Linked DNA regions of Saccharomyces cerevisiae S288C. Changing the gene in region 1 together with any one later gene gives a genetic interaction. Each region holds a gene or a part of one and is shown in the gene's direction. Other genes may lie near its edges. The genes, in order: ADH4 and PYC2.

Region 1 (3,644 bases):
ATCTGAGTCCATTAGAATAGGAATTTCAAAGGATGAGAAGGTCAATGCTAACCACTTGTTGGAATAGGTGGTAAATTTTTTCGAATATTTCGGGTTTAGCAGACTATGTACATTTAAAAACCATAATTCTTGAGCAGGATATTCAGCGGTGTCTAGACTTCTCGCATATTTGATAATAGATTTCATGGAATCTTGACTCAGATCTGCATTATGAACAATCTGTATAGGATAATCATTTTTGATGAACCTCAACACTTTCAATAAGCGTATGGTTTCATTCAACTGCACGTCAGAAGCACTAATAACTATGCCTTTCGAACCACTTTGAGTCACAGTGTGCAACCAATTCTCCCAAAAAGATAGCCCTGTATCGAAATTGATGGGCTTAGAACGAAGGAATTGATGGTTTTTGGGGTCAAATTCCAACATAGACGCATGGTAAACCTCGCCATTCCATCTCGTAGTTGTGTGCCAGAAGGCACTTTCATCAGTTTCTAATTTTTCAAAGTTAATATACGGAAAGAGCTTCTTTTCAATATCCCTCAAACGCTGAATATTATGCCCATCAACCTGCTGCAAGCAATTAAAAAAAATCTTAATCCTCGTAACCAGTTCAATCACATCTTTTGCAGGATTCGGGGTTATTTGATTTACGTCGTAGAAGTCATTCAACCACCCAGGCGTAAGACCTTCATAGTAACTCCAGCAGCCACCATTGCCACTGCTGCTACTTTGAACTGGTTCTACCAAATCTAACGAATTCAACTGAGAGTAATATACTACTAACACAATTCCCAGTAGTACAACTAATATAAACAGTCGATTTTTTCTTCTCATATTCGATAAATACTATTGGGGCTACTTTTGTCCTGTCACTGCGGATTTGCAAACACTCATGCGAATATTTTACTCAATTGAGAGATTTGCTGTCTCCCCCCACTTCGATGGTCCCCACCCCTAAAGTAAAGGAAAGAAGAATTAGCACTGTTTTAGTTCCAGGTACTTCTTTCTTTCTTTACCGGTATTGTGTGGCTCATCAAAACTTCGTCTCGGGAAAATGAAAAATGTAAACAAGAATTTCCGTTTCAAAGAGTTGCCTAAGGCCCACTAATAATGTACTTATTATTTACAATTCGGAGAACGCTGCTGATAGAAATCAATCAAGAAGTCCCTTAGTCTTTGTGTGTTTACGCCATATTGCTTAGTTTCGTAGTGCGTTACAGTTCTATCGTGTGAAAATTTTTTTCTAATGCATCAGCTGTTATGCGCACTACTTGAAAGGTTATCGAGCGTTTGTAAAAAGTAGAAGTACTTAAATGAACCTTCACGGTTAAGCAACCAGTATAATTGAGGCTGCTGATTTGAAATTGCGTTTTGTGTTCAGAAGGATCCCCGGAGGCCTTCAATGAGCTTCCATTTTATTTTCTCCAAGGAGGCCATTTTTTGTAGTGTGATGTTGACATGGTTATAACTGTTAGCAGTGTTTGTGATGATGGCTGTAGTATCACCGCAGTGGATTAGCTATGAAAAAAAAAAAAAAGAACTAGTTTTTAGTTCGCGCATCACGAGGTACGTGTTTAATATGTCAGATGCTTGGGATCACGTATGCCGTTAACTCTACAAAGCAATTGATATTTTGCTGCCTCAAATATCTCACACTACTAGGATATATTCTTTTATCAAACAGGAAAAAAGGGCAGCGTACCAACATGTATAAAAGGGTTATTAGCATTTCTGGTTTATTAAAGACTGGAGTCAAACGTTTTTCTTCTGTCTATTGCAAAACAACCATCAACAACAAGTTTACATTTGCAACAACTAATAGTCAAATAAGAAAAATGTCTTCCGTTACTGGGTTTTACATTCCACCAATCTCTTTCTTTGGTGAAGGTGCTTTAGAAGAAACCGCTGATTACATCAAAAACAAGGATTACAAAAAGGCTTTGATCGTTACTGATCCTGGTATTGCAGCTATTGGTCTCTCCGGTAGAGTCCAAAAGATGTTGGAAGAACGTGACTTAAACGTTGCTATCTATGACAAAACTCAACCAAACCCAAATATTGCCAATGTCACAGCTGGTTTGAAGGTTTTGAAGGAACAAAACTCTGAAATTGTTGTTTCCATTGGTGGTGGTTCTGCTCACGACAATGCTAAGGCCATTGCTTTATTGGCTACTAACGGTGGGGAAATCGGAGACTATGAAGGTGTCAATCAATCTAAGAAGGCTGCTTTACCACTATTTGCCATCAACACTACTGCTGGTACTGCTTCCGAAATGACCAGATTCACTATTATCTCTAATGAAGAAAAGAAAATCAAGATGGCTATCATTGACAACAACGTCACTCCAGCTGTTGCTGTCAACGATCCATCTACCATGTTTGGTTTGCCACCTGCTTTGACTGCTGCTACTGGTCTAGATGCTTTGACTCACTGTATCGAAGCTTATGTTTCCACCGCCTCTAACCCAATCACCGATGCCTGTGCTTTGAAGGGTATTGATTTGATCAATGAAAGCTTAGTCGCTGCATACAAAGACGGTAAAGACAAGAAGGCCAGAACTGACATGTGTTACGCTGAATACTTGGCAGGTATGGCTTTCAACAATGCTTCTCTAGGTTATGTTCATGCCCTTGCTCATCAACTTGGTGGTTTCTACCACTTGCCTCATGGTGTTTGTAACGCTGTCTTGTTGCCTCATGTTCAAGAGGCCAACATGCAATGTCCAAAGGCCAAGAAGAGATTAGGTGAAATTGCTTTGCATTTCGGTGCTTCTCAAGAAGATCCAGAAGAAACCATCAAGGCTTTGCACGTTTTAAACAGAACCATGAACATTCCAAGAAACTTGAAAGAATTAGGTGTTAAAACCGAAGATTTTGAAATTTTGGCTGAACACGCCATGCATGATGCCTGCCATTTGACTAACCCAGTTCAATTCACCAAAGAACAAGTGGTTGCCATTATCAAGAAAGCCTATGAATATTAAAAAAATCGAACGAACTCATAAACGTCAATTATGCGTGTGCCTTATTTATTTAGTTGTGCGTACAGTATAATGCACTTATTTATTTACCAATCAAATGATTTTTTTAACTTTTCACGATCTATATAATTACGTTAATTTCGAGTATATAACAATGAAAATATATATCTACGTTGTTTTAAATTGAAAAAAGAAGAACGGAAGTTCTATTAATGAGCCGAGACCGGTACGTTTGTTGAAAATAGTTTGGACTTAATTACTGACATACTGTTGGCTTTGAAGCATTTAAGACTGAAAAATAGTCATGCAAAAGTCATGCTTTAATATGGTGGGTTTCAGTTGGATGCAAGAAATAAAATGAAATTCGAAGGCCTTTTGCAATTAAACAAGGCATCGTCAACCAGACAATGTCGAAAATTTTGAGTCAATCTAAATCAATCCACCGCCACACTGAATTCTGTCAATGATATTGTCTTCCTTTTTTTGGTTTGATATCTCTAATTTTCAACCTGTTATAAGCAACGTCAATCCGATTACTTTCGTGTGTCATTCACATGCGCATATTTTTTTATTCGTTTTATGATATAGCTGTCTTTATTATAACCTCGAAACACAACGGCAATGTAACCTTACCAGCCGCATTATTACAAGGAGCCCACT
Region 2 (6,249 bases), on another chromosome or scaffold:
GTAGACTCACTGTACAACAAGCGCATCGGTAGAAGAAGATCATGGATCATTCCAGTACAATTTGTTAGTGGATTTGTGCTATGGGCATTAGGGTGGTGCATATCACAAGGCATAATCTTCGATGGTGTCGACGATGCGTTCCATAATCGCGGTAATGGCACTTTACACAGTGTCAGTATAAAAAATTTGACGTGGTGGTTTGGCCTGTTAGTTTTTCTGTGTGCCACTCAAGACATCGCAGTTGATGGTTGGGCGTTGACGATTTTGTCCAAAGAATCCCTATCATATGCATCTACCGCGCAAACAATAGGTTTGAATATTGGTTATTTTATGTCATTTACCATTTTCCTGTCGTTGAATTCCTCTGATTTCGCCAATAAGTATTTCAGAAACATCCCACTGGATCACGGGTTCATTAGTCTTGGTGGGTACATGAAATTCTCGGGCATGCTTTACATTGTAATAACCATATATATCATCTTTTGCACCAAGGAAAAACCCTACGTAGAGTATTTGCCCAAAGTGGAGCCCATAAATACAAGTGACGGAGGGTCAAAGCCGATAAGTATTGAGTATGACGACGGTGATGTGGTGTCAACTCAGAATACAAGCAGTATAAAGTACATTTACCGCTGCTTTATAAAAGTGTTGAAATTGAAGTCCGTAAGAAGCCTAGCCTTCATTCACATGATTTCGAAATTTGCCTTTCAATGCAACGAAGCCGCCACAAACCTGAAACTACTAGAGCAAGGCTTCAAAAGAGAAGACTTGGCTGTGACAGTACTCATAGACCTGCCGTTCGAAATCATATTTGGGTACTATGTTGTTAAATGGAGCTCCGACAAGGACCCCATGATTCGTGACAATAGAAGATTAAGAAACAGCACGGGCACCAACAAGGTCATCAAGTTCTTAGTTGGGGATGCCGGCGTTTTAACACCATGGTTGTGGGGCTTTTTGGGCCGTCTGGCAGCCGCGGTCTTGGGAAGTTACGTGGTGAAGCAATTCCCCAAGGATGGTGAAATATCCACGGGTTATTTTTGTCTCGTGATATTCCAGCACCTCTTAGGTTCCTTCATGAATACTGTCCAGTTCATTGGAATATCGGCCTTCCATACAAGAGTTGCAGACCCCGTGCTGGGTGGCACATATATGACATTGTTAAATACCCTCAGCAACTTCGGTGGGACATGGCCGCGGTTAATCATTATGTCCATGATCAACTACTTCACCGTGTATCAGTGCACTATTCCTGGCACAAATAAAGTATACGTAACTCACGGCGGCAGCATGCAAGCGTGCACCGAGCTTTTGAATGGCACCGTGACCATCCTGCGTGACGGCTATTACATCACCAATCTCATATGTATTGTAGTCGGACTTTTCCTATATTTTGGATATTTGAAAAGGAAAATCCTCCATTTACAAAGTCTGCCAATCAGTTCCTGGAGATGTACGTAACGACCCCTCAAACAAGAATTGTACGACATTACGTTCAAGAAAATTTTAACGAGTATCGTAATATTTACAAGATCTTTTTATGTACTACAGGAAGCAGAAACAAAATGAGTATCAATACCAGTGTAAATCTGTTAATGAGAATCATCACATTATCCCAGTTTTTTCCATGCAAGGGAAAAATATACTATACGACATTTCTATACTTTAATTATCAATTAAGGTCATCTTTCTGTACGAAAACTAACCACGATTGTCACTAACGACGTGTCCCTTACCCGACGCAGCTGCTGATAGCGTACCGCACAGGCACAGCCAGCTCTTCTGTGATTGGCAGAGAGGGGTCCTTCCTGCGGAAGACGCCGCAAAGGCACATATGACTAACCTTTTTTTTTTCGCAATTAATTTTCTAATAGTTTTTCATTTTTTTTTTACAATTTTGGCAGTTACGTCTCGAGCTATTTATTATAAGAGTCAGAATTGGCGCAGGGAGTGTTAAGTAAGAAGTACTCCCCATCGGATATTTCCTATTGTGTTTCTGTGATTTTTAGTCCTTTTTTCTTTTCTCTTACTTTCGGTATCCTTACTTGATTACATACATAAACAAGCCCCTCTTTTCTTCCAAACTCTTGTAGCTTACTATCTGTGGCCCGTCATTTGAGTTTGATTTTTTTGCCAATTACTATATTGCAAAATAAAGGACAGTTACTAGGAGAGAAAATAAGGGACATAGAGAACAAAATAAAATATGAGCAGTAGCAAGAAATTGGCCGGTCTTAGGGACAATTTCAGTTTGCTCGGCGAAAAGAATAAGATCTTGGTCGCCAATAGAGGTGAAATTCCGATTAGAATTTTTAGATCTGCTCATGAGCTGTCTATGAGAACCATCGCCATATACTCCCATGAGGACCGTCTTTCAATGCACAGGTTGAAGGCGGACGAAGCGTATGTTATCGGGGAGGAGGGCCAGTATACACCTGTGGGTGCTTACTTGGCAATGGACGAGATCATCGAAATTGCAAAGAAGCATAAGGTGGATTTCATCCATCCAGGTTATGGGTTCTTGTCTGAAAATTCGGAATTTGCCGACAAAGTAGTGAAGGCCGGTATCACTTGGATCGGCCCTCCAGCTGAAGTTATTGACTCTGTGGGTGACAAAGTCTCTGCCAGACACTTGGCAGCAAGAGCTAACGTTCCTACCGTTCCCGGTACTCCAGGACCTATCGAAACTGTGCAAGAGGCACTTGACTTCGTTAATGAATACGGCTACCCGGTGATCATTAAGGCCGCCTTTGGTGGTGGTGGTAGAGGTATGAGAGTCGTTAGAGAAGGTGACGACGTGGCAGATGCCTTTCAACGTGCTACCTCCGAAGCCCGTACTGCCTTCGGTAATGGTACCTGCTTTGTGGAAAGATTCTTGGACAAGCCAAAGCATATTGAAGTTCAATTGTTGGCTGATAACCACGGAAACGTGGTTCATCTTTTCGAAAGAGACTGTTCTGTGCAAAGAAGACACCAAAAAGTTGTCGAAGTCGCTCCAGCAAAGACTTTGCCCCGTGAAGTTCGTGACGCTATTTTGACAGATGCTGTTAAATTAGCTAAGGTATGTGGTTACAGAAACGCAGGTACCGCCGAATTCTTGGTTGACAACCAAAACAGACACTATTTCATTGAAATTAATCCAAGAATTCAAGTGGAGCATACCATCACTGAAGAAATCACCGGTATTGACATTGTTTCTGCCCAAATCCAGATTGCCGCAGGTGCCACTTTGACTCAACTAGGTCTATTACAGGATAAAATCACCACCCGTGGGTTTTCCATCCAATGTCGTATTACCACTGAAGATCCCTCTAAGAATTTCCAACCGGATACCGGTCGCCTGGAGGTCTATCGTTCTGCCGGTGGTAATGGTGTGAGATTGGACGGTGGTAACGCTTATGCAGGTGCTACTATCTCGCCTCACTACGACTCAATGCTGGTCAAATGTTCATGCTCTGGTTCTACTTATGAAATCGTCCGTAGGAAGATGATTCGTGCCCTGATCGAATTCAGAATCAGAGGTGTTAAGACCAACATTCCCTTCCTATTGACTCTTTTGACCAATCCAGTTTTTATTGAGGGTACATACTGGACGACTTTTATTGACGACACCCCACAACTGTTCCAAATGGTATCGTCACAAAACAGAGCGCAAAAACTGTTACACTATTTGGCAGACTTGGCAGTTAACGGTTCTTCTATTAAGGGTCAAATTGGCTTGCCAAAACTAAAATCAAATCCAAGTGTCCCCCATTTGCACGATGCTCAGGGCAATGTCATCAACGTTACAAAGTCTGCACCACCATCCGGATGGAGACAAGTGCTACTGGAAAAGGGACCATCTGAATTTGCCAAGCAAGTCAGACAGTTCAATGGTACTCTACTGATGGACACCACCTGGAGAGACGCTCATCAATCTCTACTTGCAACAAGAGTCAGAACCCACGATTTGGCTACAATCGCTCCAACAACCGCACATGCCCTTGCAGGTGCTTTCGCTTTAGAATGTTGGGGTGGTGCTACATTCGACGTTGCAATGAGATTCTTGCATGAGGATCCATGGGAACGTCTGAGAAAATTAAGATCTCTGGTGCCTAATATTCCATTCCAAATGTTATTACGTGGTGCCAACGGTGTGGCTTACTCTTCATTACCTGACAATGCTATTGACCATTTTGTCAAGCAAGCCAAGGATAATGGTGTTGATATATTTAGAGTTTTTGATGCCTTGAATGATTTAGAACAATTAAAAGTTGGTGTGAATGCTGTCAAGAAGGCCGGTGGTGTTGTCGAAGCTACTGTTTGTTACTCTGGTGACATGCTTCAGCCAGGTAAGAAATACAACTTAGACTACTACCTAGAAGTTGTTGAAAAAATAGTTCAAATGGGTACACATATCTTGGGTATTAAGGATATGGCAGGTACTATGAAACCGGCCGCTGCCAAATTATTAATTGGCTCCCTAAGAACCAGATATCCGGATTTACCAATTCATGTTCACAGTCATGACTCCGCAGGTACTGCTGTTGCGTCTATGACTGCATGTGCCCTAGCAGGTGCTGATGTTGTCGATGTAGCTATCAATTCAATGTCGGGCTTAACTTCCCAACCATCAATTAATGCACTGTTGGCTTCATTAGAAGGTAACATTGATACTGGGATTAACGTTGAGCATGTTCGTGAATTAGATGCATACTGGGCCGAAATGAGACTGTTGTATTCTTGTTTCGAGGCCGACTTGAAGGGACCAGATCCAGAAGTTTACCAACATGAAATCCCAGGTGGTCAATTGACTAACTTGTTATTCCAAGCTCAACAACTGGGTCTTGGTGAACAATGGGCTGAAACTAAAAGAGCTTACAGAGAAGCCAATTACCTACTGGGAGATATTGTTAAAGTTACCCCAACTTCTAAGGTTGTCGGTGATTTAGCTCAATTCATGGTTTCTAACAAACTGACTTCCGACGATATTAGACGTTTAGCTAATTCTTTGGACTTTCCTGACTCTGTTATGGACTTTTTTGAAGGTTTAATTGGTCAACCATACGGTGGGTTCCCAGAACCATTAAGATCTGATGTATTGAGAAACAAGAGAAGAAAGTTGACGTGCCGTCCAGGTTTAGAATTAGAACCATTTGATCTCGAAAAAATTAGAGAAGACTTGCAGAACAGATTCGGTGATATTGATGAATGCGATGTTGCTTCTTACAATATGTATCCAAGGGTCTATGAAGATTTCCAAAAGATCAGAGAAACATACGGTGATTTATCAGTTCTACCAACCAAAAATTTCCTAGCACCAGCAGAACCTGATGAAGAAATCGAAGTCACCATCGAACAAGGTAAGACTTTGATTATCAAATTGCAAGCTGTTGGTGACTTAAATAAGAAAACTGGGCAAAGAGAAGTGTATTTTGAATTGAACGGTGAATTAAGAAAGATCAGAGTTGCAGACAAGTCACAAAACATACAATCTGTTGCTAAACCAAAGGCTGATGTCCACGATACTCACCAAATCGGTGCACCAATGGCTGGTGTTATCATAGAAGTTAAAGTACATAAAGGGTCTTTGGTGAAAAAGGGCGAATCGATTGCTGTTTTGAGTGCCATGAAAATGGAAATGGTTGTCTCTTCACCAGCAGATGGTCAAGTTAAAGACGTTTTCATTAAGGATGGTGAAAGTGTTGACGCATCAGATTTGTTGGTTGTCCTAGAAGAAGAAACCCTACCCCCATCCCAAAAAAAGTAATTTTTACTCGTTAATTATATTTTATGACATCTGAAAATACTAGCTGTACTATATATGGCGTATATTTTATCTAGTTATGTTCCCATGTATATTTAAATGCCAAATAGAAAGTAATCAAACACTTTCGATGAAATACGTGCTAACTGTGTTTCTTCCTTAATGCTTTCACTTACCATGTCTCCATTCTCCATTTTCTTCTTGAGTGAAAATGTGAGTTTATAACGCTCAAGTACGTTAACTACTCTATTTAATATCGTACGGGATTTTTGATCGACTGTAGGTTTTCTTCTTAGACCATTCCAGCGCCCGGGTATTTAACCAAACGCTACGGATGCACAATAACTTACAATAAGCTCATCATTAGTCTTGAATTGCATCCAAAGTTCACCAATATTTTGCTGCGGACTTGGCGCAAACGAATTATTTATATAACAATAAACATGGTCCATTTTCAGCCGTCTCTTAAGAAATAAAATAACCATTGCAAAAGACTGTGACAT

What was found.
Region 2: mutations in ADH4 (region 1) and PYC2 together harm fitness less than expected from each alone (positive genetic interaction), as found in Saccharomyces cerevisiae (2 studies listed by BioGRID).

What each region holds. Positions count from the first base shown.
Region 1 is NC_001139.9:13,321-16,964, forward strand, and holds ADH4 (alcohol dehydrogenase ADH4), read left to right. Parts: upstream 1-1,838; coding exon 1,839-2,987; downstream 2,988-3,644. Other genes in the region: alpha-1,3-mannosyltransferase MNT2, read right to left, coding at 1-837. UniProt on the Saccharomyces cerevisiae protein: Alcohol dehydrogenase specific for ethanol. Acts mainyl as a mitochondrial formaldehyde dehydrogenase and has no effect on ethanol production. Shows drastically reduced activity towards primary alcohols from 4 carbon atoms upward.
Region 2 is NC_001134.8:658,207-664,455, reverse strand, and holds PYC2 (pyruvate carboxylase 2), read left to right. Parts: upstream 1-2,206; coding exon 2,207-5,749; downstream 5,750-6,249. Other genes in the region: YBR220C (uncharacterized protein), read left to right, coding at 1-1,461; YBR219C (uncharacterized protein), read left to right, coding at 1,153-1,453, 1,875-1,957; ATG12 (Atg12p), read right to left, coding at 6,064-6,249. UniProt on the Saccharomyces cerevisiae protein: Pyruvate carboxylase catalyzes a 2-step reaction, involving the ATP-dependent carboxylation of the covalently attached biotin in the first step and the transfer of the carboxyl group to pyruvate in the second.